2 linked regions of the Yarrowia lipolytica genome follow. The protein of the gene in region 2 purifies or fractionates together with the protein of the main gene of each other region. This does not show direct contact. Links are inferred from orthologs where the notes say so. Each region holds a gene or a part of one and is shown on either strand. Other genes may lie near its edges. The genes, in order: YALI1_B11794g and YALI1_E01159g.

Region 1 (16,535 bases), on a different chromosome or scaffold from region 2:
GGAGCGCTGTTTCTCTCGAATGTGTATTGGGTATTCATACTGTTGTTTGTTTGTTTTTTGGTTTGTTTTTTTTTTACTACTGGTAATTTGCAATCAACCTTCATTAAATTTAGTTGGAAATTAGTTATGCCAGAAGTTGTACTGGGGCTCAATCCACAACTTCCAGGCATGCCAGAGACATGAGAAGAACACTGGTGGGTATAAAATCAGTACTAGATTACTTTTTGTGTCCTGAATCCCTTTCTTGAGTCGAGAACATGGCCAAATGTGACATTTTTTTGACATTTTCTGAAAACCCAACCATGGTTTTTTACTTGGGTGATTGTACTTGAACAATCCAGCTTTCAGAGTACTGACTGGGTGTAAAGATGGTTGTGCTCATCTTGAAAAACTCCATAAATCACCCCATGAAAACTACCCTTCATCCTATCTCTATCCCTCTACCAGGGCATGTACCTGAATGCTACAGTGCTGAGTGTGCAGTAGTGGCCGTTCAACTCTCTACGAGCAACTGGACTGCTAATTGAACTGTTAATGCATTTAATAATTGTCTACTCCAACTCTCTGGCAACCTTTGGCCACACTCTCTTGTATAGAGCCATAGCGACGGTGTCCATTCCGTTAAGATGCTGGTCGAAAGTAGCCTTCATGTATCCATGAGTACCTAGAGACATTTTGATAAAGCCCGATCGGCCCATCTTGGTAAAGAGCGGCACGGCCTTGAACCAGTTGATGTCTTCGGGGTTGAAAAACATGTATCTGATGGTGACGAGCTTCTTGTGGATCTTGAAGGGATGGCCGGTGAGCACGGCCCGTTTGATGAGCATCTTGCGGGGGTCGGTGGAATCGAACGAGCCGGTTCCAACTAGCTCCATCGCGCCGTTTTCCGACTTTCGGAACCACAGGGCAGGAACATTGCCAAAGGTGGCAGGTCCAATGTATGTGGCCATACAGGGCCGGGTCAAGAACCGGTCAAACTTGGCAATGGTAGACTCGGTTCCGTAGAGAGGGTTTACAACCAGTCGTCGAGGTCCAAGCTGCAAAATGAGCTCGTCCTTAGACTTGATGGGAGCTGTCTCTTCCTGGTCAAAACAGGGGTTCATAGTCACATGACACACGGCCTGGTCCGACTCGTACTTGTGCAGTCCGTAGACAACAAACGGCGAGTCTGCGTGTTCCTGGGCCTCGGACACAATGCTGACGGGAGCCTCAATGTAAAGCTTGACGTATTGTCCTGGCTGCAGGTCTGTGGAGTCCTTGAGAACCCGGTTCTTCATGGCGTTGTAGTTGAAGGTGACGCAATTCTTGTACTCCTCGGGGTAGTCATCCTGAGAGGCATCCCAGTTTCGAAGCGACTTCATTCCTCGGTACTTTGCGAATCTCTCCTTGGCTGACTCGCCAGGCTTGAGTTCGACTTCATCAGGGAAATCGAGCTCTTCTCGGAGGCTCTTGTATTCCTCCAACTGACGTGTTTCCTCGTCCATGTCAAATTCAACGTGAGCGCCATCTTCAGCATCCATATCAACTTCATCTTCCTCCATCTGCTCATCCTCAAACTCGTCGTCAGAGTTGATGAGAGTCTCGTCAATGAGCCACTTGGCCTGCTGCTCAGACGTGCCCTTGGGGACTCGGCGCTTGGCGTACTTTTCCTGCATGGCTTCTCGCGCCGTGTCAGGGAAGTAATGATGCCCGTCGACTTTTACGCCCAGTTGCTGGTCTTGGATTTCTTCTTCTTCTTCCATGACGTCATCCTCCTCCATGTCCATATCTTCATCGTCACCGTCATTCTTGGCCAAAACGTCCTCACCGGGAATGACCAACTCGGCCTGTCCATGCTTCAACACCTCAGCTTTGGCGATCTTGAAATCGCCGTATCCGGGAAGATGAACAGTTCTCAGAAGATTGAAACCCTTGCCTCGAACAACGCCTGAAACGCACACCTGGCCGTCAACCTCCTGGACGTTATCAGCCAGCACAAAAGCACGCTGATCACGCCAGTTGACACCCTTGGGGAATTTCTGCGCAATGTTTCGCACCAGGTTGGCACAGTCGGTGGCGTTCTCAATATCGAAAATCTTGTCCTGGGGGAAAAAGTAGTCGGAAAAGGTCTTGATCTCGTCGATTCGCTCGACGCGCTTCTTGTCGGTGAGCATTCCGGTCTCTGTGACTACAGAGATGACATTACTCACTCCCTGCTCAGCAACACACTTGAGAATGTACTCCGAGTCGTTAAAGGCAGCGACAGGAGAGAAGGCCAGGATGACAAAATCGGCGATTCGGGCAGCGTCCAAAACCTCCAGAAAGTTGTCCAACGACGGGGTGATCACCGTGAACTTCTGCTTGAATCGCTCGACTTCGTGTGTGCTGATTTTGGACTGCAGAGATTCAAGACCCATCATCTTGCACACCAGCCCATTCACGTCAACGTCCTCGCTCATGCCCACAACAGTGACAATCTTGGGGGCACCGCTCTTGCCGTCAAACAGCTTACGGTCCGTTGCCAGTTCGACCATTTTGGCAGCCCGAATCTGGTCCTTCTGATTCCGCCGGTCCCATTTGCCCATAGTCTTGACTGCCTTGTTTCCGGCAGACGCCTTTTCGATCTTGCCCTTGTTCAACGCCTTGATCGAGCCCTTGGACGCATGCTTGGACTTGAATGGCTTCTGCGACTTTTTACTGGATCGATGTGAGTGCATTTCGTTATCCAATGTCGTCGTATGTGAAGAATAGAGGGTCGAAATTTTGGCTGCACATGCACGAATATTTTTAAGCTTTAGAAGTTTATTTTATGGCAGTTTTGACGGTGCCTGGAATCGAACTGACGACAATGGCCACCGTTGGGAATCGAACCCACAACTTCTCAATTAACCCTACTTTTTTAAACCCTAGTCACGTGAATTTCCCAACGCAGAGTTTGCAGTCCTGCTGGGAGCATTTATCGATTTTCTGAAACTTCTCTTTGACACCAAAACCACGACAGATATTCAAGGTGGGTACTGAAAGCGATAGGGATTGAGGGAACGCGAGGTGAAAACCGACGAAACGACGATGAACGAGCGTTCGGGAATTTGCTGCCGGAACGACGAGGTCAACACGGGCATGGCTGGTGGGATTGTGTGAATTTTGTCGTTGGTCGTGAACAGCATCATGACATGATTCGTGTGTGTGTCCCCCACCAATGTCTGAGTCCCGCATTTGCCACCATTTGCCACCGGAACTCTGACTGCAAAAATCTGCCGGTTCCTTCTCTATATGAAGGTGGTTGATTTCCGATCCGCTGGCTTCATCGTAAAACACCAGATTCAAACACACACATTTACTAACTAAGATGGCTCACGAAAACATTTGGTTCTCCCACCCCCGACACTACGGTAAGGGCGGTCGAAAGTGTCGAATCACCAACAACCAGAACGCTGTTATCCGAAAGTACGGCCTCAACCTCTGCCGACAGTCCTTCCGAGAGAAGGCTGCTGACATTGGTTTCACCAAGTTCCGATAAGTCTCTCATGAGTATTTATCAATAAAAATGAATTATTCTTCGACTAGTCGACGAGCGTAGTAGATCTATGTCACTGAGCGAATCCTGAGCGTAGCCGACGATGACTGTAGACTGTAGACCGACTGTAGAAAGGTGCTTCATGTGGCAACTTGATGCTACTTGTACTTGTACCTTTCTGTGTATATACAAGCCCAGTACAAGAGATGTACATACTCGTATTCGTATCCTAGTCTGCATCACGGGATCTCCTGCTGTACGTACATTACTAGTACTTCTTTCGAAGCGGCAGGACCACTGGGGAAGTGCTGGGGGTTTGACGGTGACGGAGATGATGGAGAGACGGACATCATACCGGGCAGTTGTCAGACTACTTGCACATTTGTAGCCGGTGCTTGAGGCGGGATTTTGGCTGGGCGGACTGGTACAAGTATTATCTCGACTTAAGACTGGCGTGAAGAAGCGTACAAGTACATACTCCGTACATAGGAGCTTTAGCATCTCCAAGACCTTTAAACGGAGTGTTTCTTTCTTGAATAGAGTGCTTCATTCTTGGTAAAAAGTCCGTGTTTCCTTCTTGTTCCATCTGGAAGCTCTGTTCGTCCGAGTAGTGGTGGAGGGATCTACAAGTAGTGGATAGAGAAGCAATGGAGAGGATAGAAACTGTAGAACAGAATACCGGTAGACACTGTAAATGATTTGGCGGTTGCCTGATAGGTCAAAGGGTCATTATCGCTTGAAATCTTTTGATTTCCGTTGATATCACGGACTTGGATTCGGGCTAGAATGTTTTCTACAAGTACATATCGGTATTTGCGCATACAAAAAGCAGACAGCGAAACTACATACAGCCTTTATACTGTAGCATCTGGCTGTAGATCTTCAGAGTGGACAGTAGCAGGAGTAAACGCTCAGATAGCCAACACCTCGCTCCCCCTCCCTCCCTCCACTGTATCCCACCTTCCAGCCGTGCATATGGGATGTTTCAGCCACACTCCGTTTGAAATACTAGTATCAACAACTCTATCGATCCCATAGAGTCCATTCGGAACTCACCATGGACTTCAGCCGTCTCCGATGCTCTTTTCTAGTCACACTTGCAGTTTCTATGCTGTTAGGAATCATCTAGAAGATGGGTGAGACGTAGATCAAGGCGGAGAGAGTGGCTCAGGTACATTTCGGTGTGTGGGGAAGCTAAGAACAATCTGAAACCACCGATCGACTCGGAGAGGCGAGACGGTCACTCTGGTATCACTCTTGTGTTGACAAGTCCGCGCTATCCCCCTCATATCTTGGTTGCTCCAGAATCACACTTGCGATCATACTTGCATAAGGTTTGCAACTAGGTTTAGATACTCTGAATTTTTTGCATGGTATCTCTTATATAGACTTGGCTATCTTCTCATGACTTAGCAGTGTTCCACCAACACAATTTTTTTACGACAAGACAGAAATACTTCAACGACCATGTCAACAACATACACATGCAACACGTGTGTTCAGCAGTTTCCCAACTCGGAAACGCAGCGTGAACACATGAAGACGGACTGGCACAGATACAATCTCAAGCGAAAGGTGGCCGGTCTGCTGCCCATCGCTGCCAACGTGTTTGCGTCCAAGGTGCTCCAGCAGTCCGAGGCTGTTCCCGAGCGACGACAGAAGCAGATCACAAAGAAGGAGATGAAGTACCAGGAGCGGATGGCCCGACGAGTCGTGCGACCCTCATCCCCCACCGAGTCCCAGGCGTCTGAGTTTTCTCTGGGCTACGGCTCGGGCGTTGATACTCCCACTGAGGGCGATGCCATCCACGAGACTGCCACAAACGGAGACGAGTCTTCGGATGTGTCTTCTTCCCTATCTGAAGACCTCAACACAAAGCTCAAGCACCTTAATCTCGATGAAGAGACCCTGCAGAGCGTCAAGCATCTCGACACAGATACCATCAACAAGCTGGCACTGCGACGAGCCATCCCCAACACGGACTGTGTGGTGTGCGGCGTGCATAACGACTCCGTGGAAGCCAACGTTGAGCACATGACCAAAAAGTACTCTCTGTACATTCCCGAGCAGAAGTATCTTACCGATCTCGCCGGGCTCATGTCCTACCTGGGCCAGAAGGTCGGTCTCGGCTTTGAGTGTCTGTCGTGCTCTTTTGTGGGCCGATCGCTCGAGTCTGTGAGACAGCACATGCTCATGAAGGGCCACGTGCGAATTCCCTATGAGTCTGAGGACGAGAAGCTCGAGCTGGGAGATTTTTACGACTTCACCTCGTCCTATGATAAGAAGTTGCCTGTTTCTGATGCCGTGGCCAACGACGATGAGGACTGGGAGGATGACGATGAGGAGATCAACTCCGACGACGAGTACGACGACGGAATGCTCTATACCGACGAGACCGGCACCCAGCTGGCTCTGCCCTCCGGTGCACGAATCGGACACAGATCCATGGCCCGGTACTACAAACAGTCTCTCAAGCCCGAGCCTCGAGACGGCCAAGCCACTGTCAATGCTGTGGACATTCGACGGCCCGATGTCAGAGACCCTGCTGCTTTCAGAGAGCAGAAGAAGATTTGGAAGGAGGAGAAGCGGGTTGCCAACAGGAAGGATGCATGGGAGTTGCGACGAAACAACTTCCAGAAGCATTACCGAGACGAGTTGCTGCAGTAAGCGAACGAGCCGCAGAGTACGCGCGAAGCGAGTGCTTACGAGTTCGAGCTGGAGCATAGGATACATACAGAGTATGTACGAGTCTTTCATGGTGTTGGTTGCAGCCGTTTGCAACGGTTCGCACAGTTTGCGAGGGATTGGCATAGACGTCTTGATGACCTTATAGCATTGTAATAGCATTTTTATTGATGACAGAACGAACAGTGGGACGTAGTGGCGTAATGAGTCCGATATGGGAGCGACCGCCGGGTATTTGTATGTGTGTGAGGCGGTTGAGCGTTGTTTCAGTTACCTGTGATGTTGTGACGATACATCTGAAGGTGATCTCTTTGAAGACAATGGGGTATCTCATGGAAGGTGGCCACTCGGGACTAGTGGCGACGGTACGGTACAATAATTGTGTTATTGCCAATCTCATTGAAAATAGACCTACTGCTTGTGTTCTGATGTCAGTGGAATCTGTGGAATCTTCAAAGATCGAATGGGGTGACGTGGTGCATATCTTGTAATTTACTTGACATTATAGTTTGATTTTGTTAAAGATTTAACAAGGGGAACGTGGGAGGTCTTGGACCGGCTGGTGTCTTATTGTTGGGGTATGTGACGCCTCTTGACCCCCGTGTGCTGTATGGTGGCGTCCGTCTTTACTTGAGCTTTCTTTACCTACTACAAGTAATGCACCATATGTGGTATTCTTCCTATCTCTCCTCCATTTAGCATGTCCATATAGACGCCATATTGGGGAGTTGAGTTTCGCCAAAACTCACGTGACGGTACCGAATCATGGAAGATGAGATCACATGACCTGGTGCAACCCCGCGGTTCTCCCGAAATAGCGCTCACTGGCTCGCTTATTGTGTTGTAGCAACCTCGTATGGTGGACCAATTTCGGCAGCACGAATTTCTTTTTCTGTCTCAGCGGGGGTGCGAGGGTTTAATTATTCCAGTTCGGGGCGATGAGGTGGATCGGGTTCCGATCCGACATTCATACTGTACGATACAGTGCGATGAAGTGCTGTATGGGCACGAGCACAGTACAAGTATGTACTGTACTTGAAAGATGGCCGGTACTGTACGAATACACCATCCACGGTTTACCAATATCGGTCTCGTACTGCATCGACATACGAAACATTGAATACCCCCGTCTCAGATCCACCTCATCGATACGGCCTGGGCTATGCCGGCAGACGGTGTCCCCAACGTCTTATCGGCTGCCCCCTGATCGGCGGTGGTGATACGCGGTGGGTCCTTGAGAGTAGGTGCAAGACTCGGCAGTGTAACGTTGGAGGAGGTAGTGTTGGATGAGATACGAGGGATGACGTTAAAAGAAGGGTGTAGTATAGCAGCTATTGCTTCTGCGACAAGACCAGATCAGGACAAACCAGAACCGCGACAAACCAGAACCGCGACAAACCAGAACCGCGACAAGACACGTGATCTGTCAGTTGTCATTCTTTTGTATCTCGGAGGCCGACTCGCTGACCGGCCGGAAAGGGGGCGGGAGCCGACATCAGACTTTCCGACGGAGTATGCTATGCATTCCAAATTTTTTTTTTTCTTTCTTTTGGGAATGTTGAGTGAGAAGTAAAGTGGGAGAAGCACCGTACGAGTACAAGTTGGGTGGATGGGAGAGGGAGTTTGAGTGGCTTGGACAGCTCCTTGTGGGTCTTGGACGGCCGTAACATGTTCAAAATGGGCTAGATCGGCTCTGAAAGCGACGCTGGAGCTTACCCTGCCGGCTCCACCTGCTCCACAATGGCAACCTTGGGGTGGTCACTGCAGTAATTGCCGTGAACCCTACCATATTGTAGGTACAATTCTGCCGGTCTAACAATGATGACAATTCTAACAATGATGACAATGGCGCAGAGGAGATATGTACGGCACATTCCGCACACATTGGCGGAGACGAAGAAACGTGTCTGCAACGCATCTGTACCTCGGGTGGCATTCTGGCATTGGGGCTTGGTGGCTCGGTGGCATTGTGGCTCGGTGGCATCTTAGTCAGTGGACTCGGTTGGTGAAGTCTCCTAAATTAGACCCACCGAGAGAGACAGAATACGCTTTATACGAGAGCATGGAAACCCAAGCGAATGAGACAGGGAGGGGAGGGAGAGCAACAAGGAGAGTTATTTTGGATGAGTTATTTTGGATAAGTTACTTGTGGCCAGAGGAAGCGGCGTAAATGGAGTGTGCGGTGTGCGGACTGAGCTGGGCTAACCAGGTGCCAGGTCTCGGCTATTTGACGGCAGTCGTACTACTGTATCGCTCTCAGGGCAGGCCGTTCGGAACAGCCGCGCAATGACGTATGACAGCGGACCAATGTCGATGCCTTCTGCACCACGGTGGGCAAGGCCGGAGTCAGCCCATGGCGATTGATCTTGGCGTACTGGTATTGTACAAGCAGTTGGTGTAGAGGTTGCGTTGCCTACAGTTGCTCCCAACAGTGGCCACAGTTGCCAACAATGCGTAGCCACAATGCGTAGCCACAATGCGTTGCCAACAGTGCGTTGCCAACAGTGCGTTGCCAACAGTTGCTCCATGTCGCCTCGCAGTTGCTCATGATGTCACTTTGCTGTGCTTTGCTGTACTTGGCTGTCACTGTCTTTTGTCACTTTTCCACTATCTCCTTGCCTGTCTGGTCACTTCCAGTGAACGTTGGAAAAAAATAAAATTAGTGCTTTTTTTATAACATAATGCTGTGCATGGGACAATGGATATCCGAACCTTGTGTGGAATGCTAGACAAACATTTGCACAATAGACACTACGACACGACACTACAATACAACACATCTTTCAGGCACGGGAATACGATTCTAGGTACGACATGCCCAGGCAGGCTTCTGCGGTCGCATCTTTGGCATTTCCCCAAAATCCACGCCCCAAACCGCCAAACCTCCAAACCGCCAAACCTCCAAACCGCCAAACCACCAAACCACCAAAGTCGGCTTATCAAAAACATCCAATAATCTCCACTCTTTCTAGCGTCTGGAGGCTTGGCAGCACACGACAAACGTGCTGCTGATCGTCGTTGGAGTGTATCTGAGAGGCGGAGAGGGAAGAGAGTCTTCGTTATCGTCGTTGTCGTCGTCACCGTTGTCGTTGGCGTATTATCGGGGACCGGGCTCACCCAGTTAGTAACCAAACTAGTCCAAGTAGCCCACTAACGGCCGCAGTAGCTCTACACCATCCCTTGCTTGCAACGTTAACATTGCCCCGTGTTTATTGACCGTAGAGTTGGCCGTTAGGGAGGACCGGGGCCCGATGGGGAGGACCGGGGCCCGATGGAGAGGACCGGACGCAGATTTAGACAGACGGAGATACTCGCCAGGCCCCCGCCAGTTGAGTGCAAGTTGCCCCCTTCCAACCCAAGCCCCCCGCTACGCGCTACCCGCTGCAGTTTTCGACCGCTGTCATCCCTCTCCACCCTCAACCTAAAGAGACTATTATTTTGAGCTTGCCTATTGCAGAGCCGGCAAAAGTGGTGACCCAAAAAGCCTACGTAAAACCGCACATCTGGGGCAACTAGAGTTCGGAGCGACTCAGCCGGGTGGAGCCAAATGGGGAAATGGAGTAAATATAGCTTGCCATTTTTGATATTGGTGATACACATTGTCCATCTGGTTGTGACACCCATATCGACCACCACCAACGCGTAGCCCCTGGATGCGCGCGTACTATTGTAGCCGCAGATAAAAGTCTCCACCCCCCTTTTGGTGCCTTGTCTGGGCTATTTTTGACGTCTTTCTACCGCTCCCTTGTTGTCACCTCAAATGCATTCACGCACCACAAGTCTGGTTTTTTTTTTTTTTTTTTGTTTCTTGTGAGTGTGCAAAATCTGCCGTGCAGCAGTTGGACAGTTGGACATCTAGACAGGCAATGGGGCAGACAAATATCTACAATCGATCTATTTTCGCAGGTTTGAAACAGCTCGAATCACCACCGCCAAAACCTGCCCAAAACCTGCCCAAAACCTGCCCAAAACCTGCCCAAAACTTGCCCAACTCACCTGCCCAAAACCTCCTTCAATTTTCATTTCTCGCGTGATGGCATTAAGCTCCACCAGCATATAGCCTAAACTATCCCTCCGACTGTTTCACCACAAGAAAGCATGGCAGCTGCAGCGCCAAGTGCCCTTTTCTCAACATCACCAAACACAACCACTTTCGCCCTCCCTCTTTCTCTCTCCCTCACGCTTCTCGCTCCTAGCACATCTCCCGTCTGGCAGCGCTCCACCGACATCACACCCACCTCCAACTTCCCCGGCTTATCACTAGCACCAATCTTGTCTTATCAGTCACGCAACCAAGTGCAAGTATCATACAAGGACAGCATCACCAGTCAACAAGTCATTCGTTAACCTGAAGGATATCACACCAGTCCAACACGTCATCTTACACGACACAACACCAGAAACATTGCGGACACCCCTGACGACAACCGTGACGACAACCGTGACGACAATCCTGACGACATAACCCATCACCACACAAGGACACCCAACCATGACAGAAACACTGCGAACACAATGCACCTGGCTGGGGCTCTACTTTTTCTTCAACCTGGCCCTCACGCTCTTCAACAAGGCGGTCCTCGGATCCTTCCCCTTCCCGTACACCCTCACCGGCATCCACACCCTGTGTGGCACTCTGGGTTGCGCGCTCTTACACTGGAGAGGCGTCTTTAAACTGACCCGGCTATCCGATCAGGAGAACACCACCCTCATTCTCTTCTCCATCCTCTACACCATCAACATTGCCATCTCCAACGTGTCGCTGCAGATGGTCACCGTGCCCTTCCACCAGGTGGTCCGGGCAACCACCCCCTTCTTCGCCATGCTCATCAACGTGGTCTTCCTGCGACACTCGTACACGGTACTCACCTACCTGTCTCTGGTTCTCGTGTGTGCCGGCGTCGGATTCGCCACTGCAGGAGATTACTACTTCACCGCCATGGGCTTCATTCTCACCATTCTGGGCGCCGTTCTCGCGGCCGTCAAGACCGTGGTCACTAACCGTATCCAGACCGGCCGGTTCAGACTCTCCCCTCTCGAGCTGCTCTACCGTATGTCACCTCTTGCATTTGTCCAGACCCTCGTCTACGCCTACCTGGCCGGCGAGCTGGACGTGCTGGGTCTTCGGCTCTCGAGCCCCGAGGACGTGGTTGGTGCCACTGCCTCTGCCACCTCGGGCCCGCTGTCGTTCCTCGGAGGCATCGACTACACGGAGATTGAGTTTGAGTACAGCCAGAAGCTGATGCTGCATCTGCTGCTCAACGGCATCATTGCGTTTGGCCTGAACATTGTCTCCTTCACCACCAACAAGAAGACGGGCGCGCTGACCATGACCGTGGCCGCCAACGTGAAGCAGATCCTCACCATTGTGCTGGCCATCTTTTTCTTCAACCTCACCGTCACCCCGCTCAACATGATGGGCATTCTTGTGACGCTGCTGGGAGGAGCCTGGTACGCCAAGCTGGAGCTCGACCGAAAGAGCGACAACTCTGGCGCCGAATCTGCGCTCCCCGTCAAGGAGGCCAACAGATCGCAGGCGTAAAAGTAGGAAGAAGGAAAAGGAGGAAAAAACGACCTTCTTAAGAGGAAAGGCACGGTTCCGGCGTACATATACCCAGCCTAACACGAACCTACGCGCCGCCAATCATAGCATTTGAGCTTTTGGGTGGGCCAGATAGAGTGACACGCACGGAAGAGAGATAAACGAGATGATGTTCTCACTCTAATGCAGCCTCTCCATCTGAGTCAGACGCCCCCTGTCGCTTGCTCGCATCATCGTATTCACATTTCTTCTAATGACGACTTGGCATTCTTCTTTATTTGTACCTGTTCCAGCACCACCTCCACCTTGGCTGTCTTACGCACTCTATTCTAGAAACGGTCGACCAGTGGCACATTTGGCGCGCAAACATGGTTATACATATTCTTTGCATATATACAGCGAATAGATTTGATTGATTGTTGTTCGCTGGTTCCGGCGACAACCGCCTGAGCGGTTATCTTTTCATAGTCTTCTGTCAGACTACAGACATGGTGTGAAATACAACTAAATGCAAGCAACCGCCGGCTTGCTTTATAGAAAGGGAATCACAGTCTCATCTACTCACAGCTACAAGTGTATGTACTACTTGTAGTGCCTGATCGCAAGTGACGTAAATAACTCAGAGAGGTGTAACGTTGAGATTGGAGAATGGGGAGCAGGAATAGAAATAGCATTTGTAGTGTGTGGATGGTTTTTACCAGTGGGCATGGTTGAAGATGGTGTGGATTTTATGGGGGTTCGAATATATAATAGTACTCTGGAGCTCGCAGCGATCAAAACGATACCATGAAGACATGGTTTGGACCATCTCAAGCGCCAGGTCTTGGAATGGGCGTCCTGTCTTGTGTTTCTGCACTTGTATTTGTAATTATCAGTCTGGCAGTTTCTATACTATACTTTCGACTGAAGGTTCACTGTGCCTTGCGGTTCTATATTTAAACGATGACCTGAAATACCACGAGTAATAGAGATGGGGAGTTGGGGGTTTGCAGGGAGGTAGATATGGCGTCTACGAGTACCATATCCAAATACCGCGTTTCTAGGACCGAAAAGGGTGTTTTAACCGTGTTTTGGAGGCGTAGGCCCAGAAGGGCATTGCAGTTGAAATTATCAGACAGGACACCCAGATAACCATCAACCATCAACCATCAGACACCATCGACAACCTCTACATCACTCGTAAACACCCTCATGTTCTGATCTCATGATCACCCCACAACCTAATTAATCTTCGGGCTGGTTTTGGTCGGGCTACAAGGCTGTGTACAAGTCGGGGTGTAATGTATTTACAGTGTTGAGAATGAGCTTGAGAACGGGAGTAAGACCACGGCTGAGTGCCACGCGATTCCATCCACCGAGTGAAGCTCAGTGTTAGTGTGGGGGTGCAGTAGCTGTGGTGCTACGGTATTACTCCTGGAGACCGTTAGTCACTGTACAAGGCCGTCAGTGTACATCGTGTATACCGTCTTTCGGCAATCATGTGATCCACCAACGGCTTTCATTTCCGACTTTCGAGATTCTTTGCCCGGATTCCGGGTATTATTTCCGAGCCGTTAAAGGTTGGCAGCGACAAACTCTCCAAACTCTCGCTGTTGATGTCGGCCAGATTTCGTCACAGATGAGGCTCGGTGGGGAGCCTGTAGGAAGACTGACTGTAGCGTAGCAAGAGACTCAAAGGGGCTACTTGGAATGTACTATAAGTGAATGTCGAAGCTCCATTCACCGCTCATGCATCTACAGAGTCGGAATCGGTGCTATGAAGCCCGTCAAATAGTCCGAAAAGGCCCGTCGCGTATAGCTCCCGGTCTTGGCTGGTATGTGAGCGTGAGCTGTGCCTCTGTACCGCACACTGGCACACTTTTTGGTGCATGGCCAAGGCCCGTAAAGTGCTGGTCTCCTCTGGGCCTCCTCGGTTTGGCTCCGAGACTAATCTTGGCAGAGCTTAGTATCATTTCTCGGAAAAGTTTACCCTGGCCAACAGAGGTTGGTCGTAGCCCCTGTGGGGTTGCGAGGAGCGGGGTAACCACCTCATCAGCAAGAACTTCATTCCACCAGTTGATTTCACCGGATTCTGTCCTTCTTTCGGCCATCCATGTCTCTGATATCCACTCAATATACCTCACTCTGAGCTTCCCAAGAAAAAAAATAAAAATACAGCATCTGCATCCTGTCTCGCACCCTAACTGTAATGGGCCGTCTTCGCCTCCGAGGTATAGCGGGTTAGCCTTGAGGGCGACTAGTACTAAAGCGCAGCGTCTGCAGTTGTCTTCTTTTTCGAACCTCAGCGTCTGTCGTTCATACTACAAGTAGGTCAACTTCGTTCACCATTGCCCCCCCCCCACTCACTCACTCACTATGACCTCAATCCTGGGCAAGATCCAGAACCAGCTGGAGTACCGAAAGGTCACCTCCAAGTACATCAAGCGACGCCCCTCCGCCGTCAAGCTCCATAACGACGAATACAACCACTCGGCCACCTCTCTGGATGACGACTATGGCTACCACGACCGAACCACTACACCCAAGTCCCCCTCCAAGTCCCCCTCCAGTCCCAAGAGATCACCTCTTAAGCCGCCTTCCACCTCGTACTTTCTGGAATACGAGCCAGGCTTTGATCGAGCACGGGAAGGCAACGGACGAACCGCTTCCAAGGCTTCCAAGGCTTCCAAGCCGGCCATGAAGAGAGCAGATACCTACAGCTCGTCTCACTACGACAACTCCAGAAGTTCCTCCGTCTACTCCATCAATAATAGCGCTCCCGCTTACGACCCCCCCAAAACCAGATCCCATAGCACCGGCTCCTTCAACTTCACGCCTTCCACCCGCCACAGATCGGGCACCAACGCGTCCAGAAACTCCAATAACCCCTGGGCCGACTCGCTACCTGAAGAAAAGCCCGAAACCAGCCACTCGGAACACATGAGCCAACAGGAGCTCTTCGACCCCAACTACCTGGACTTTTTGGCCACCAAGAAGGCTCCTCCTCCCCCCCCAGTGTCCCATCACCACAGCTACGGTGACAATCCTTTGGCCGACGACACAGACAACCTGACCACATACCACTCGCGAGAAGAAGACCGGGGAAGATATAACACGGAGGGCGTCACGGACCGATACGACGCCTTTGACGAGGACGGATACGGCCAGTTCTCGAGAGTCAAGACCAGACAGAGCCAGGGTAACTTGAAGAAGTTAGGACGACGACTGTCGCTGTTCCGCAACTAAAGACTCACCTCTAACCATTGAAAGTTCTCTCATTAACTCACTCACACTGTTTAGCACCATTTAACAATATATTTATGTCATGATTAGCCGAATGTTTGTAGATTTAATAGTCTCTAGTGGATTCATCTTTGCCTGTTGGCTTGGAGTAGGGCATCCTAACATGACCAATAATGATCAGATCTCAATTCTGAAAAGTACAAATAGATCTGAAGAGGGTCGATTGGTATAAATATCAAATTTCAAGTCAATATTACAAGTCTTCACCGACTTTGCCTATGTACTATGTCCTCTTCTAGCACTACCCTCATTACTTACACCACAGAGTCACGAATACTCTTATAACGACTCTGAAAGTCGCACGATAACAAGAACATACCTCTGACAACTGCTGCCATCTTCTCAAACCTCCATATCCGAAAATTAAGAACAGTTCTCAAAGTTCCGATTACATAAATCATCACAACTTTTGAAGATATGTGGTTAGCAACACAGCAAAAAGAATACGTCTAGACGACACTATACACTCCGATACGGGGAATCGAACCCCGGTCTCCACGGTTCTCAACTTGAGAGCGTGATGTGATAGCCCCTACACTATATCGGATTGGATGAAGTTCCGATTTTGACAGGGACTACTGGTTTAGAAAGGTGCTGACAAAAGACCGGAGTAACCAGGCTAGAAAGGTATCGTTCTGGCACCTTTGATACGATTCTTGCATGTTTTATACCTGTGTTGCCCTTCTATTACTTTCCAGACTTGTTCTGGTACAAGTATCGATTTGCCTTTTCATCTACTGTTTACTGTACCATGCACTTTTCATTATTATCAACTCGTCTGTATCATTCAGACCAATGCATCCCCTATAATACCCATCCAAACTACTTCAGCGTCTTGAGAGCGGTCTCAATGACCTTCTTCTCAGTACCTCGAATGACAATGGCAGCCTTCTTGGTTCCCTCTACCTTGGGCAGCACCTTTTTGTACTCCTCCGAAGTCATACCTCCATCCTCGTACCTTTTGAGTCGAGCATTTAACAACAGCTTCTTGGCCTTGTTGATATCCTTGTCCAGACGTCGAGAACACACCTTCTTCTTGTACTCCTGGTCGGTCATGAGCAGCAGAGTGAGCATGGCGTTGACACAAGGTCCCCACTCAATTTTGTTCACATCGCCGTCCGAGTAGGCCACAAACACCTTTTCCGACAGCTCGGGGTCCCGTTTCCGCAGCATCTTGAGCCGGTCCATTCGTCCAGCCTTCTTGGCGTAGGCCATGGCTTCTTTCCACAGAGAAATGACTTCCTGCGAGTTGTTCCAGATGGCAAAACCGTACCGGGCCAGCAACATGGAGTTTGGCAGGTCTCCATACGTGTTGAAGATTTCCTTTCCGGCCTTGATATCATTCTGCAGCTGCATGTCACAGATTTCAGAGTCTTCCTCCTCCTCATCTTCATCATGCTCGTCTCCTTCCTCCTCATCCTCCTCGGTTTCGCCGTCCTCCATCTCCTCGTCTTCATCACCACTTTCAACCTCTTCCATCTCCTCTTCTCTCTCCTCGTCGTCATCTCCATCTACCGACTCGTCAGACCA
Region 2 (15,374 bases):
CAGCCATGTCACTCTGAAAAGTGCCAACCACAACAGCAAACGCGCTGACATGTGAAATCAGTTGATTAATAATACGATGCGCCAATGGTGGCGAATGTGGATAGAGGAGAAGAGCAATGCCGATAGAAGGACTAACGAATGGCCCGACGAGCATGTGTCATTATTGCAAATGAGAATTCCAGGGACCCAAGCACGACTACACAATGCCCGAAAAACAGTAAGGGAGTCTGCGGTACTACAAGTAGCTAGAGCAGCGATGTCGCCCATCAACATATCACACCGACCCCATATGTATGTGGGGACCTCATGTGTCGAGACCAAGGCCGTACAAGTACGAGTACTCGTACATACTACAAGTAGCACCTCTGAATCCAAACAGGTGCCCCTCGACAACTCGCCAATCAAAACAACTTTGTAAAGCAGTCCATGGACTCCGTGGAGAGACGGTAGGCTCATATGATGCCGAGGAGCCAGCGGAAGTAGCAGCTCATCCCGAAGAACAAGGGTGGAGAGTACAGAAAGAAACACCATCCAAGACAAGGACAATCACGCGAGCAACCCATTTCCATCCGCCCACCGAACAAGAGACAAAATTGACCTGGTTGCACATAATTCTAGTGCAATTGCAGTTGCCAAATCGAATATTTCCGATAGCAGCCTCGGGTATAAGATTTGCATACTTCAAGTGGATATTAGTACAGTGAAACCCAAGCGCTATTATCTATAAAAGTACTACCATCGATTACCTATCTCTCTTTACTTAGTTACAATCCCAGCCGTCTCTGGAGAGCAAGCTTGCCCTGCTCTGTGGTGACGTCGATACCGTACTCCATGAACCGTAAGCTCTCGACGGGATGGAAGTAGGCAAAGTAAGGAATGGCCATCTTGTGGTGCACTCCGTAGACCTGGGCCATAACGTAGAGTCCCAGGGCTTTCAATGGCCAACCCAAAAGCTCAAAGCCGTCGTCTTTAGGTTGAACGATGGCGTATAGAGCGACGTAGGAAAGGGGGAAGGCCCAGGCGACTCCCAGACCCACATCCACGTATTTCGTGAAAATCATGCTGCCAAACCGGTCAAGGGTCTTCTTGGAGAAGACCTGTGGAAGACCAAAACCAGGCAAATATCGGAGTCGCTTCGTAATGAGAGTAGCCCAAAACTGGGAGGCAATCAGAATAGCTATCTTCAGACCCAGTACAGTGTAGTCCACAGCCCCGTCAGAAGAGAGACCAAACTTGCCATTGATGTAAAGCCGAGTAGAGAGAACCACAAACAAAAACCGGTAGTAGTTGATGGTAACATGCGAGTTGGGTTCCGAAAAGACGATTGGCTTGGGAACAACAGCCTTGCTGATGAAAAATGCAACTCCCACAAGAGCCACGAAGCCTGCGACAGGAACAATGGTCCGCATGTTACCCGTCAGACTTGTGTCATGGAGGTACAGCCAGTGCATTAGCCATCCTGCACCCAGGGAAAACCGTCCGAGGGGACTGGCCATGTTCTTGGTGGCTCTATTGACGCCCAGGCCGGCCTTCATTTGCTCACATCTCTCAATTACCAACTTTTCGTCGGTGGTATCGTATCGCTGTTCAAAATGATGTGACATGGTGTATCGTAGTAAGAGTGTTGATAACTATATGGTCCCGCGCTCTCTTTATAGAGGGGGAAATCACATGCGCCAGCTTTAATCTGGAAAAGAAAACCCTTTGTACGTACACCCGCAAGTCTGCTACTACCACTTCAAGGCACACCCAAAGCTTCAACCCCACGTTCAGACTATCGTTTTGAACCTAAGATAAAACTCAATGGACCGGTGACTTTTGAGGTTTCATGTCTTTCTAAACCAGGCTAGAGCGTATGACATGATAAAGTGTCTCTTTATTAGCATTGTTTTACACGTGAAAACTTCACGGAATCGCTTTTCTTTGTACCCACACTGCCCCCCACCACGCGACCTCCCTCGCGCTCCCCTATCACTCTTTTTTGCTGCAGCGAAGTGTTTCAGTTCCCCACTAAATCCTGATCGGAAGAACTCTAACCTCCGTAGCTCCGTCCATGTCACCCTACAGTACGTACTGTACTGGTACGCTTGACGTTCAGCTATCAAGCAAGCCAATATCATTACACGCCACCGCCGCTCTAGTCTAGAAACAGAGCTGCTATTTCAAAACACTGCCCATATAACCGGCAACGAAACAGCCATCTGTATAGCCATAGACGAGTACAACCATCACCAAGTTGTACACATCCATAGTGACTACAAGTACACACGATAGACACATTCTTCTCACCTGTAGCTATGGTATTGCTGTGTGCACCTTATCACATAGATCACTCGACCGCCTAGCCACCTCCTGTCCCTTTTTAGTACACGGGCTATTTTAACGAGAAATAAACATTTACCACTTCCACTTCCCTGTCTCGGACCATCTTCACGTTCACACAATCTCCGGCTGCACTTGCCCCGCGCAAAATAATCCGTAAGTACCCCGGATATGCCCCTCCACATTTGCTATGTGTAGCCCCAAATAAACTACCAGTAAAAGCACAAGCACACCGGCCACAACACCTCAAAAGCAGGGCCGTAAACTCTATCGCCCACACTACTCGGACTTGTACTGTAGAGCAACAGGCACATACAACACCCTTTACTATACGCCATATAATTAATTAGATAACAAACTAAACTCTCCTTACATCATGTCCTGCTCGTCGTAGAACTCGCCCTCTTCGTCGTCGACCTGAGCCTCCTGGTACTGCTGGTATTCGCAGACAAGATCGTTCATGTTAGACTCAGCCTCGCTGAATTCCATCTCGTCCATACCCTCGCTGGTGTACCAGTGCAAGAAGGCCTTTCGTCGGAACATGGCTGAAAACTGGTCACCGACTCGCTTGAACAGCTCCTGGATAGAGGTGGAGTTTCCAACAAAGGTTCCGGACATGGGCAGACCCTTGGGTGGCTGGGAACACACAGCAGTCTGCACATTGTGAGGGATCCACTCGACAAAGTAGTTGGAGTTTCGGGTCTGGACAGACAGCATCTGGTCCTCAACCTCCTTGACGGAGACCTTTCCTCGGAAGAAGGCGGCGGCGGTCAGGTATCGGCCGTGCTTGGGGTCCGAAGCAGCCATCATGTTTCGAGAATCAAACATCTGCTGGGTGAGCTCGGGGACGGACAGAGATCGGAAGTTAGCGGACTTGAGAGATGTGAGAGGAGCGTAGCCGACCATGAAGAAATGGAGTCGGGGGAAGGGCACCAGGTTGACGGCGAGCTTTCGCAGATCGGAGTTGAGCTGGCCGGGGTATCGGAGACAAGTGGTGACACCAGACATGACAGAGGAGACCAGGTGGTTGAGGTCGCCGTAGACGGGGTGTGGCAGCTGCAGGGTTCGCATGCAAATGTCGTAAAGGGCCTCGTTATCGATACAGAAGGTCTCGTCGGAGTGCTCGACCAGCTGGTGGACCGACAGGGTGGCGTTGTAGGGCTCGACAACTGTGTCGGACACCTTGGGCGAGGGGACAACGGAGAAAGTGGCCATCATTCGCTCGGGGAACTCCTCTCGGATCTTGGCGATCATCAGGGTACCCATACCAGAACCGGTACCTCCACCCAGAGAGTGCGTGATCTGGAAACCCTGGAGCGAGTCACAGTTCTCGGCCTCACGTCGCACAACATCGAGAACCTGGTCGACAAGCTCAGCGCCCTCAGTGTAGTGACCCTTGGCCCAGTTGTTACCAGCGGAAGACTGGCCAAAGACAAAGTTATCAGGTCGGAAAAGCTCCCCGTAAGGACCGCCCTTGACAGCGTCCATGGTGCCGGGCTCAAGATCAACAAGAACGGCTCGGGGAACGTACTTGTTGGCAGCAGCCTCGTTGTAGTAGACGTTGAGTCGCTCTCGCTGAATATCCTCCTCGCCGCCGTAGACTCCGTCGGCTCCGATGCCGTGCTCGCCGGAGATGGTCTGCCAGAAAGCAGAACCGATCTGGTTACCGCACTGGCCGATGGATAGATGGACAATTTCTCGCATCTGTGTTAGCAAAAAGTAGCTGGGTCGTGTTTGCGCTGTGGTACGTTGTGGTGGCACGATAATATGTTGGGAGGTGCTGTCCTGTGCGTGCTGTGGTGTGCTGTAAGCATAGAATAATATCTCCTGAATTTGTTTGTAGACCGCCAGAAGGACGTGTTATCTCGTGATTGTGGACGTGTTATGGGTTTAAAACTTCATCCAATGAAGTCGGACCTCACCGCAGGTCTTCTGTATACACAATCGTCGATATACGTGTCTGTGTCTGTGTCGTTGTCTCTCCTGAATGCCACCACATTGACCAATTCGCATCATCCATAAATAGGGGTCGTATTATTCCCCACCATCAACATATCTGTGACATTCGGTAGACTCGCCTATCAACACAAGCAACAAGGCTCTCAGCCAGCAGCAGACAACACCTCTGTCGCTATCTCGTCTCTAGGTTGTGAATCACGGGCCAACGGTCCATGTCAAGGGGGGGCGTGACGCTCAAAAACCGCACAACAGCTTCCGCCAATCGGAAAAATCGCCCGCTTGTGCGTCTAGCAACACCATTCTCGTCTCGCCTGGTACTCACTGGGTATCTGTATGTGTCGTGGAGTGGTTGTGATGGACAGGAGTTTTTCTGCTTGTGCCCCTAATCTTGAAAACGCGTAAATAAGATTAGTGTTGTTTACGCTGCCGGTTGTCTGGGAGACGCGTGTTACCCGGAAGTGTTGGTTCTCTTAGGGAAGCTAGCCCTTATACACTTCCTTATTGGGACCATGCATCGATCACTGTTTAGAGGCAACGTGTAAAGGGGGTGGTCCTGGTTTGGACAGCGGGGATGGATGATGTGTGATGGTTTTGAGGTTGCAAGTAAAGGGCTGTAACTGAAGAGGACATAGCCGTGTTAAATTCCGGTCCTGAAATATCTTTCAAGATGAATCTAGGGCTACATAATGGAACTGGTCACGTGTTGCACATAAATACGAGCGTGGTGCCAAATATGGTTTCTAGTCCCTGACTGTACTCTGGTGGCTGTAATGATAAGAGGATGAGGAATTACAGTAATAGCTATATACTCGTAGCTATGGTAAAAGCTACAGTATGATGACGATTAGAGAGACCTGTGAATACCGAGAGAAACTGGTTTGTATCTTGTGTCCCTGCTCTTAGTCAGAATATGTCACAGTAGTTTGCGATGATCAGCGAATTTGGATGTATCACTTGGTATCGACACAACAGAGAGAAACAAAACACGATGTAGACAGTGAATTTGACAGCTCATGTTTTGTCATACGTGTTCAGATACTGTGCAAGGACACAGCGTCATAAAGCAATGTCGTGGGATACGACTACTGTATTATAAACGGCCCACAGGTATACTGTACGAGTAGTCTTAACCCCGCACATCTTGCCCGTTTGGTGGTCCTGGGCTTATGACTAGGGATTACGATTGAAGAGATGGTTCAAGGTTTGAGTGATGTTGCACTTTGTAGAGAGACATTGAGAACGGACTTGTGCGGACTCGTATGTACTCGTACTGTACTTGTGAGATACTGCTAAATAAATTAAGTATGACGGATGGTTATATGTCTATAGTCATTGAAACTTATCACTTGAGAGTCGCTTACAGGTATACATGTCCCCTCATCGTCAGTCTTGACATAACTGGAGCTACACATCCGCTCCCTCATATTTTCCTGCTCTTAGCACACGATATTGTATGTACGAGTGGACACTAATACAGCAAAGAGCGGGCGCAGCACGACTTGGCAGTATCCGTTGTCTACTCGTACTTGTAGTAGTCGCGATAATGATTTGAGAGGTTGCTTACAAGCGGCTTGGGGACAAATAATGAACAGTCGCAACGAGACAAAGACCGACAATATTACCTCGCGAGAAAACGGCGAATATTTCCATCAATCTCTGGCATGCAGTTGTCGTGGGGGTTGACTTTGCGCTGCAGGACCGAGCAAATTCACCAAATCTTCTCTTGGCGTGGGCCTGACAAAATTCGCTCCCCTCTTTTTCGGAATAGACCGGGCTGTGGCGGGTTTGACCGGAAGGAGTAGACGTAGCAACAAGTTGAAAAAAAAAGTACATTTTTCGTGCCACTACATGCCCTTGTACGAGCACATACAAATTTGAACCGCATTGAACATGGGACAAACTACAAGTAGCGGTGAGTATGTAAGAGGCACGTATTGGACGGCAATATATGTACGGTAGTATTCGTACCTACATTTGCGCTAAGTGCCGCCGTCCACCTACATACGATACATGTATACGTCCACAGGCTGTAGGTGGTACCTGGTGCTAATACATTTATATGCATTTAAACGGGCATAAAATAGATGTATTACATTCGGGGGAACTCCATGGGCTCTTGTTGCACGAAAAAGTGTGACTCAACAAGGGTCTCATCTGCCTAAAACAGAGCACTCATGCAGACAACCGACATCATGTGCGTATGCCAAGCCGACGGTACTGTGTTTTTCCCAATCAAATACGTTAAGTGGACAAGGCCATATCTCATGCCAGATCCTGGTCCCTTTCTATATAAGAGATGATCTGGCACATTAGCATGGGCTTCTATAACTTCAACAGCGACCTTCGTCACCATTATTGCCCGGGGCCAATAAAATTAAGCACTAAGATAAAGACTGCGGCTGATACCTGATGAGACCAAGCATAGACTAAAGCAGCAAAAAAGGGACCATAATACTAGTATTCAACCAAATCAGCAGTTGCGGCAGTTTCAACATTACACGTTCTTTGAACTTTTATAAGAGCCCAGAGCCTTTCGCTTCATTCTCTTCTTTTTCTACGACACAGCCATCTCCACAATGAGACTGGTTTCATTTCTCCCATTATTGCTGATCCACACGACAGCAGCGACGTCAGCAGATACCACAGCAGTAGATTTGTCAGACTTCTACGCAGGAACAAATCCTAGTGCACTTGATTCGGCTATTTCAGTGCCCGAGGGAAATTACAAGCCCAAACACGTGGTTCACATTTCCAGACGACGTCTGATATGCAGAACCAACGAAGATACAGGAGAAGAAATCTGCAAGGTGGACAATTCCGACCCCCAGGAATCAATCATCGAAGAAGTTGATTGTTCCAAGAAGGAGAGAAACACCAATGTTGGTCTCAGAGTAGGTGCTCTGTTTGCTGTGCTCGGTACTTCTGCTCTGGGCGTGTTCCCTCCAGTGCTGGCTGAATCCATCTGGAGAATCAATCTCGAAACTCTCCCTATGACCTTCATCAAACAGTTTGGCACAGGTGTCGTTCTGTCCACTGCATTCGTTCATCTAGGAGCTGAGGCTACCGAAGAGTTCAACAACCCCTGCATCGGAGAGGTTGAGTACAAGCCTACTCCCCTGGCCTTTGTGCTGGCTGGCCTCTTCATCTCCTTCCTCATTGAATACCTCGGAGCCCGTCTTTTGAGATGGAGAGCAAACACCCTAGAGGCTCGACGAAACGAGAACCAAGACTGCGAGGAGACCAAGTGCGGACATGATCACGACCACGGCCATATTATTGACAACACTGGAGGAGACACTGAGGACTCTGACAATGGGGGAGAACCCGTTCAAGAGATTGTCGAAGATGTTATTGAAAAGGCTCCCTCTCGTCTCTCTTCCTCTTCTGTCAGAAGAAGTACTACTCAGACAACTGCTCCCCCTCCTCCTATCGCCGGCGGATGCCACTCCCACGGTCTCATTGACCCCACTGATAAGTTTTCCGTCTGGATTATGGAGGCAGGTATCATTTTCCACTCTGTTCTGGTTGGAGTCACCGTCTCTCTTGCTGAGGAGGACACCTTCATCACCTTGTTTATTGCCATTCTGTTCCACCAAATGTTCGAGGGTGTTGGTCTAGGGTCGCGTATTGCTGGCCTGAAGGAGTCTCGCCTCATTTCCAAGTGCCTCATGTGCTTGTGGTTCTCCATCATCACCCCCATCGGCATGGCCATTGGTCTTGGCGTGCTTGACCACTTTGAAGAGAACCCTACCACTCTGTGGGCTCTCGGTAGTATCGACGGTCTCTGTTGCGGAGTTTTGGTGTACGCTGGTGTTGTAGAGATGTTAGGCTTTGACTGGCTGTTTGGTGACCTCCAAGATGCTCCTCCTCTTCGAGTCTGCGTTGGCCTTGTCGGGCTCACTCTCGGAATGCTGCTCATGTCCCTGGTTGGACACTGGGCCTAACACTGTCGTCATACATGTGTTACAGGTATATGACGAATAAAATAAAAAACATAGATATTTAATTGCATGAATAGTTCATTGGAAGTGATGAGTGTAGGTCAATTTGTAATTATGTGATATCATCATACACCCCAACTAACATACTGTAATGTACGCTACCCTGAGTACAGTACAAGTACAATAACATTAGTTCAGCGGTACAGTGAAAACCGTTTATTCAATAAATAGCGCCGGAGGTCGGCTATGTCGTAAGATTCTCCTTTCTTCTAACCTTTTTTGTGTGTACAGTAACGTAATATCGTACCTTTTAGGCAAAGTAGATGCCAGCTTTGTGGAACTCATTCAGCAGAGTGAGAAACTCGGTCTGGTCACACTTTGCGGATCGCATTTCTCCGATGCCGGTGTCGGTGAGAATCTTGTTGATCTTCTGCTTGACAACGTCAGAGAGGTTGGATCCCTCAGGAATGATCTCGCCCTGGGTGGAGAGCCAGGTCTGGTAGTTCTTCTCGAGAACTGCCAGAACAGCGCTGGTCTTGAAGCCGGCGTTGATAGTCTTGTTCTTTCGAACGAAACAGACTCGCAGAAGACCATCCCACTCGTTGAAGTCGATAGGAGGCCGGGGGTTCTTGACCTCAATCTTGACGACCGAAGACTCAACATTGGGAGGAGGTCGAAAGTTACCTCGGCCGACCTTCATGACGTGAGAAACCTTGGCCCACATCTGCACATTGACAGACAGTCGGCAGTACAGAGAATCACCGGGTCGAGCCAGAAGACGCATGGCAAACTCGTGCTGGAACATCAGCACTGACACTCGCGGGGGTCGAGGCTGGTTCAGCAGCTTGAAAACCAGGGGAGAAGAAATCTGGTAAGGTGTGTTGGAAATGCAAACGTCAAAGTAAGGAAGCTCTGTCTTAATACAGTCTCCCAGCATGATTTCCAGTTTCTTCTGCTCAGGCTTGCCCTGCACTCGCTTGGTCAGCTCGGCAGCCATTCGAGGATCCATCTCCACAGCAATCACCTTTCGAGCCTTCTCGAGAATTCGAACAGTCAGGTTACCAGTACCGGGACCGACCTCCAGAACGGTATCACTGGGCTTAATGTCGGACTTGTCGACAATACCCTGGGCCACCAGAGGGTTTTTAAGAATATGCTGACCGAGATCAGTGTTCATTTTGAAGACGGCAGTCTTTCGCTGCTCGCCGCCTGCAGACTCCCTCTGGGCGCCTCCGGAGAACTTCTTTGCTGGTGCCTTGGCCATTTTCTTATGCTGTTGTATAGTGGTTTGTGAACTGAAAAAAAAGATCCAAAATTTATTTTCGATTCATGCATGCAGAAAAAGCTAACTGGCATGGCACTGAGCATGCACAAAGAATCGCCCCCAGAAGTGCCTTAATAATCAAAGAAGATTGTTTTGAGCGTTTCCTTTGCAAACACCCGATTTTGTTAGAATGGCATACTTTTAATCAGCCCTTCCCCAAACATCAAGTTCACAATGTAACTCCAACTAACTCTTAACCTATCAGAATGTAGAGATATGCAAGATTGTGACATGGTAGAATAAGCATCACATCAACACAATACAATGGCCAAGAGAATCAGCCGACCCACAAATCTGAAGAGCAAACCACGACCTCTGCCAGTCGACATGCTGGTTCCTGCCGACAAGGCTCGAGGGTGAGTTGAAGGAGGGAGGTGCAATAAGAGAGCAGTATTGATGATCTGGAGTGTACACAGACCTTGCCACAGCGACACAGATACGATGAACGTACCGCTCTAGAGAACCAACACTAGAGCTTGAAGCTTTTTTGTTTACTGGTTTTTGCCTCACAGTCGCGCCATAGGATCTTGGTATATAGACGCTACCACAGTCTTGTGATACACTGCGGTACACTTGTGCTAAGCTTGGGTGAACTGTGTTTTGACATTGCTCTCATTATTCGACTTCTAACACAGATTCAAGATGATCCTGCTGTCGCTCCCTTTTGTGGTCCTCTCGTCAGTCATTCTCTACAAGCGTCTATACATGGGAGAGGACAAGCGCGTTCAGATTGGTGAACAGACAGAGGAGGGCATCCGATGGTTCACGCCTGAGGAGATTAAGAAGAAGGACGAAGAAAAGATCTTCACCAAGGTCTTTGGAAATGAAGACTGGCTCAAGAACAGCAGGACTAACAACTAATCCACCCACATATTCGTCTGTATTCTGTATATAATATATATTTTTCGATGCTATAGAAATGGTGTGTATACGTAGCACTGCCAGAGCGCTTTGAAAACTGTAGAATTGAAAAAAGATCCATATCCCTCGGTACTGTACCTGTACCTCATCAACAATCCTCCTGGTCAAAGGCTTTGTGTGATTTGTAGTCAAGGGGACGACCTCCTGTCACACTTAGAATCAAAGCCTTAAGCTACGTCCCCACCATAGGCCACGGTCAACGCGATCTATGGTTGAGAATTCCTACCGGACCACTGGTTTGGCGATACGCACGCCAGCGTTGGCAAGAGACATACCATCACGAGAAGAAGCACCTCTAATGCCTTCCCGAGACACTCGTCCAGAGTGGTACGAGTTGTATCCTTCTCTTGACACTGCTCGAGGAGTACTGGGAGGCATCAGAGATTGACGCTTCACAGGTGAAGGGAGAAAGGAGCTTCGGCGACTGTTGCTGCTTGTGCTGGACTCGCTACGTCGCCTAGAGGCGTCGGTCAGGACGGGGGTGTCGCTAACCGACCGCATACCTGAAAGACCGGCAGCTCCAGTTCCTGAGTAACTCAGACGAGGCTTTCGAGTAGGAGTAGCCAAGGGGGTCGCGTAGGAGCCTAGTCTAGATGACGATCGGCTGGCAGGCCGGTTTGGAGAAGGTAGGGGAATGAGAGACTGTCTGCTTGAACCGTTAGGCTGAAGAGAAGGAGTCTCACCTAGCTTCACTGTAGAAGTAGAACCGATAGATGATCCAAAAGACGTATCGGAACAAGATGATAGCGAGCAGATGGATGCTGAATCGGGAGTGGAAGGTTTGCTGCCCAGTTGGGGGTATCTGTGGAGCAGTCTGTTTGGAGAGTTAGTAACGGGAATGAAAGATTTAGTTGTCTTGAGACTTCTAAACTTGTTGAAAATGGCAGCATTGGGAATGGGTCCGCTGTTGCAGCCACACTTTGAGTCCTTAGAGTCCCTCAAAGTGGTCCCTTCGCCTAGAGAAGCTGTAGGAGACTCAATAGACTCCAACGTCTCCATGATGACACTCATATCATGCAACGGAGACTTCTTGTGTGAACTGGTGGATGGAGGCAACTGAATGTCTTTGAGAGGTACCACTGGCTCCGATGCCTCCAGTGCGTCTGAGTCAGGTGTAGACACAATCACTGACGAAGAAGAAGAGTTGGATAAATCAGAAGAGGATATGTTTGCATAGTCGTTTCGCTCCTGAAGCTGTTTGTCGCTTTCAATTTGCTGGTTCAATTTGCTGCTGTCGATATCTCGAAGTACGTGATTCTCGCTGGTTGAGTGTCGTTTGATCACAGGCTTGGGTGAGAATCTGTCCAGAGACACAACTCGCATATGCAGTCTTCTATTGACGGGAAACTGGGGTGCGAATGACAGCCGTGGCGAGATGGCTCCATGATCCGATATCTCTGTGGTTTCAGAGCACTCGGAGAAGATTGACGAGTTGGTAGACAGTCTCTTAGTCGATAGAACCTTAACTTCCTCCACAAACATGTTCTTGTCGTTGCAGACTCGCTGGAGAACAGTCAGTAATGCCGCGTCGAGATCTTCACCGAGCTGGTCGATGGCCAACTGCAGAATCGAAGACCATTTCTTGGTCGACAACTCCTCATTCACCAATGCAAACTCCCCCTTAAGATTGTGCCACTGCTGTTCCAGATTGGTCCAGTTCATGTTCACCAGAGATGAAAATGTCGGGAAAATGGGCTCACATCTGGAAGAGAACTGGGCCACCCTCTCGGGAATGAAACCGAGAGACACAGTCAGCGGCTTAATCTTGGTATCGTTGAGTTGACAGAAGGTCTCCTTGATACTTTTGTCCTGACGAGTCAACCAAGGGTATACTTCTTTGGCCACATGGTCGAGTTGGGATGCAGAAATCTGCCCTGTGAAACTAGACTCGAGCCGTTTCTCCTTGATCTCAAAGACCGTGCTCATGCATTGACTAATTTCCGCGTCGATATGTCCAATCACTTGTTCACACAGCTCAGTGTACTCAATAGCCACTTCCATCTGGTGACACAGTGTCGCGATTCCCTCCAACCTTTCTTTGTCGTGATCTGTATCCTCCGCATTGTGTCCATCATTGTTGTCGATATCATCCTCGTTCCCTGCTGCTAATACAACCAGCCTTGGTGTGTCTTTGACCAATGCCACAAGCCTTGGTAACAGGTCTGTATGTTCCAAAAACCACTCTCCTTCAGAGGAGCTATTCTTAAGAACTGGTTCCAGCGTGGCCTTGCGCTGATTGACGAACTCATGCAAGCCAATCGATGATGGTCTAACATAGTCGATATCCCAAGTTTCCCATCCATTCAGTCGAACAAAATCGTCTCTCTGCTTCTCGAGATTGGAAGCACACGTGGATAGCATGTTATAAGTGTTTGTGTCGTGCAATTACCATGAAACTGGCTGTCGATAGCGTACTATGGCTGAAGTACGCTTGCTATTGCTATTACTTGTCGAGTGTCAAGTGTCGAGTGGAGTGTCGAGTGTTTGTTTAACGTGTGTGTGTAGTGTCTGTGTGGTGGAGCGCTGTCCGAGTGGTGTTGCAATGTCCTAGTGGCCTGAAATGCCGTGCTGCCCTCTTATGTTCACCCTGTGTTATGACACGTCTGATAGATATGTGGTTGAGATATCAGTTGGTATGTAAACCAGCTCTCTGGTAACGTTATGTACGCCAGCACTTGGAGTGCATGTTTCATGCTTCATTGCATTCTGCCTCTGGGACAATCTAAACATACGAAACCTTGGAAGGGAATATGTAAACATAGCGAACACAAAACATAGCAATTGTGTATGCAGGTCAGTGTCAAGTACATGAATAATAATATTGAATCCCAACCTCAAACACATGAAACAGACCCACATATCACCATCTATTTACCTTGGGTATCACACACTATGTATAGCTGACTGCTCATGCTGTACAGTGCGGCTGCCTTTACAGTCTCCCCGGCAACGGACCTTAGGCTGTATCACTTAAAGTTGAGTCTAAAAATCGCCCACAAAGAAGTCAAGAATGTTCCGGTTGACAATAATATTCTGCCATATGCCCCATCCCCTTCACCCTGCCTAAGAAAGTACAGCCCCAAACGCGCTGGGCGGTTCACGTATATTGTAAATACACGAACCTCCTTCTATGTAGGGGCTTCTCTCCAGGAAAAAACATGGCCTGTCTACAGTTGGCATGTGTGCACCCTAATCCCAAGAACGCACTCAGAGAGGGTGTACATATGTCAACTATGTTATCACCGAAAAATATCATTACTTGTACGTCACAATACCATATCTCCTTTTTTAGTTAGCAATTTCATCTCGTCTCCATCCGACACTTCGGAATGTAGTCAAGTCCTTAGAAGGTTGCGGTCGCCCGTTGTCAATGACGAGCGCAAACGGGTTTCGATCGGAGGTCTGGTGCAGATTTCCGAAAGTGTGATTCACTTCACAATGCTTAGCTTCGTCGGCCCGCACATATTGGATTAAATCACGCATGGTACAGTCGTCCTCCATATGCCAGTAGGTTCTGGCGATGTCAGGAACTTCCATCGATGCGAGCTCCGGCAGACGTCCGGCGTCAATGTCTTCCAGACACCTGGTGTAGGTGATGACAGCCTCTTCCTCAAGGTAGCCCACGAACCGATGACAGGTTGCGGGGGAGATCAAGTAAGATATGAAGAAGAGGTTGTAGAAGATGATCTGACCGATCAGGAGCCCAGTGCGCATCTGTACACTAGGCTTCTGTAGCTTCAAGAATGTCAGAAGATGCATTCTCTCATTGTAAGCTTCCTCAACCAGAGACTCGATCCAGGCTCTATCACGTCTCAAGGCACGTAGCGAGTGAAGGTGTCTGATCATCCCGGCCACCATTCCGGGAACTCCAGCAATGGACTCTAGAAACAGGAATCTGTCTAGCCACTGTCTGGTGGTCATACGGAACTTTGGTAGATGGGCTTCCCCTTCTTTTGGGTGCTTGTAGCCGGTGCATAAGTCGAAAATGATTCTCATGAGGAGAATAGCTCTCAGGGCGACCCGGTCGGAAAACGTCTCAGTCTTTCGATGATTGACCTCGAGAGCGTCCATCTGCTCCTTGGTGTAGACTGGATGGATCCAAGCGGAGCCTGTGAAGTACTCATGGTGGTGCGATGAGGTAGCGTAGAGAGACACGTCATCGGGTTTGGAGTTAGCCATTGTGACAACGGAAGCAGCAGTGGATCCATAGGCTGAAGTGGTATCAGTAGCGAGCTCAGTTGAAGGATTATTCTCGTCTTCATCGTCCGTCGATCTGAACCGTCCCAGAAGGTTTGGGGCTCGAGCATTGACATAGGTCTGGCCTCGGTTGGCCCAGTCTCTGACAGTCATGATATGTCGTGGATTTGTGCGTACTTTAAGAAGGTGAAATTAGAGAAAATGGGCTTTTGTTATATAAGATGGATGTGGTTTTGTGTCCCTTACATCATGTACAGTAATTATCACAGTGATGGGTTTTGAGTTCCTTATCCACAGCTTAATTTTCACCTGACGGACATCACGCGAAGAGAGTGACAGGGACGTGAGGTTAATCTTCCGAGTTTGAATTTGACATACTGTAACAACATATTATTGAATTTGCAGAGCCCTTGAACTATTACGGGATAGTCGTTCCACGTGATCCCTCCATGTGCCACATTATAGGGCATGATATCTGCGCAGTTTCACTTTTTGCAGATTATGCACCACCGTTATATGTGCATGGAGATGGAGCATCTGGCAGGGCTTGTATGTATACTTTAGGGAAGCGAGATGCAGGATTCTTACAACTGCGCACTGGGCTACAATACATGTACTCTAGGTACTGTAGCTACTGTCATGGGGAAAAATCAAACCGCGTAGCAGTGATACACCGATTCACGTGCCAGAATCTTGTGGAATAGGAACAA

What was found.
Region 1: the proteins of YALI1_E01159g (region 2) and YALI1_B11794g purify together in Saccharomyces cerevisiae (affinity purification with mass spectrometry; 8 studies listed by BioGRID, with this or other methods). This does not show direct contact. The link is inferred for Yarrowia lipolytica from reciprocal best matches to the Saccharomyces cerevisiae genes DIM1 and TSR1.

Annotation. Positions count from the first base shown.
Region 1 is NC_090771.1:1,165,660-1,182,194, reverse strand, and holds YALI1_B11794g (uncharacterized protein), read right to left. Parts: upstream 2,697-16,535; coding exon 552-2,696; downstream 1-551. Other genes in the region: YALI1_B11781g (uncharacterized protein), read right to left, coding at 3,518-3,997; YALI1_B11759g (uncharacterized protein), read left to right, coding at 4,964-6,150, 6,196-6,337; YALI1_B11729g (uncharacterized protein), read left to right, coding at 8,996-9,183, 9,226-9,397; YALI1_B11719g (uncharacterized protein), read right to left, coding at 9,948-10,064, 10,109-10,237; YALI1_B11715g (uncharacterized protein), read left to right, coding at 10,674-11,723; YALI1_B11681g (uncharacterized protein), read left to right, coding at 14,079-14,948; YALI1_B11648g (uncharacterized protein), read right to left, coding at 15,828-16,535.
Region 2 is NC_090774.1:106,504-121,877, forward strand, and holds YALI1_E01159g (uncharacterized protein), read right to left. Parts: upstream 9,487-15,374; coding exon 8,533-9,486; downstream 1-8,532. Other genes in the region: YALI1_E01081g (uncharacterized protein), read right to left, coding at 765-1,604; YALI1_E01105g (beta-tubulin), read right to left, coding at 2,692-4,026; YALI1_E01133g (uncharacterized protein), read left to right, coding at 6,858-8,225; YALI1_E01163g (uncharacterized protein), read left to right, coding at 9,811-9,902, 10,182-10,407; YALI1_E01193g (uncharacterized protein), read right to left, coding at 10,690-12,828; YALI1_E01213g (uncharacterized protein), read right to left, coding at 13,756-14,817. UniProt on the Saccharomyces cerevisiae protein: Specifically dimethylates two adjacent adenosines in the loop of a conserved hairpin near the 3'-end of 18S rRNA in the 40S particle.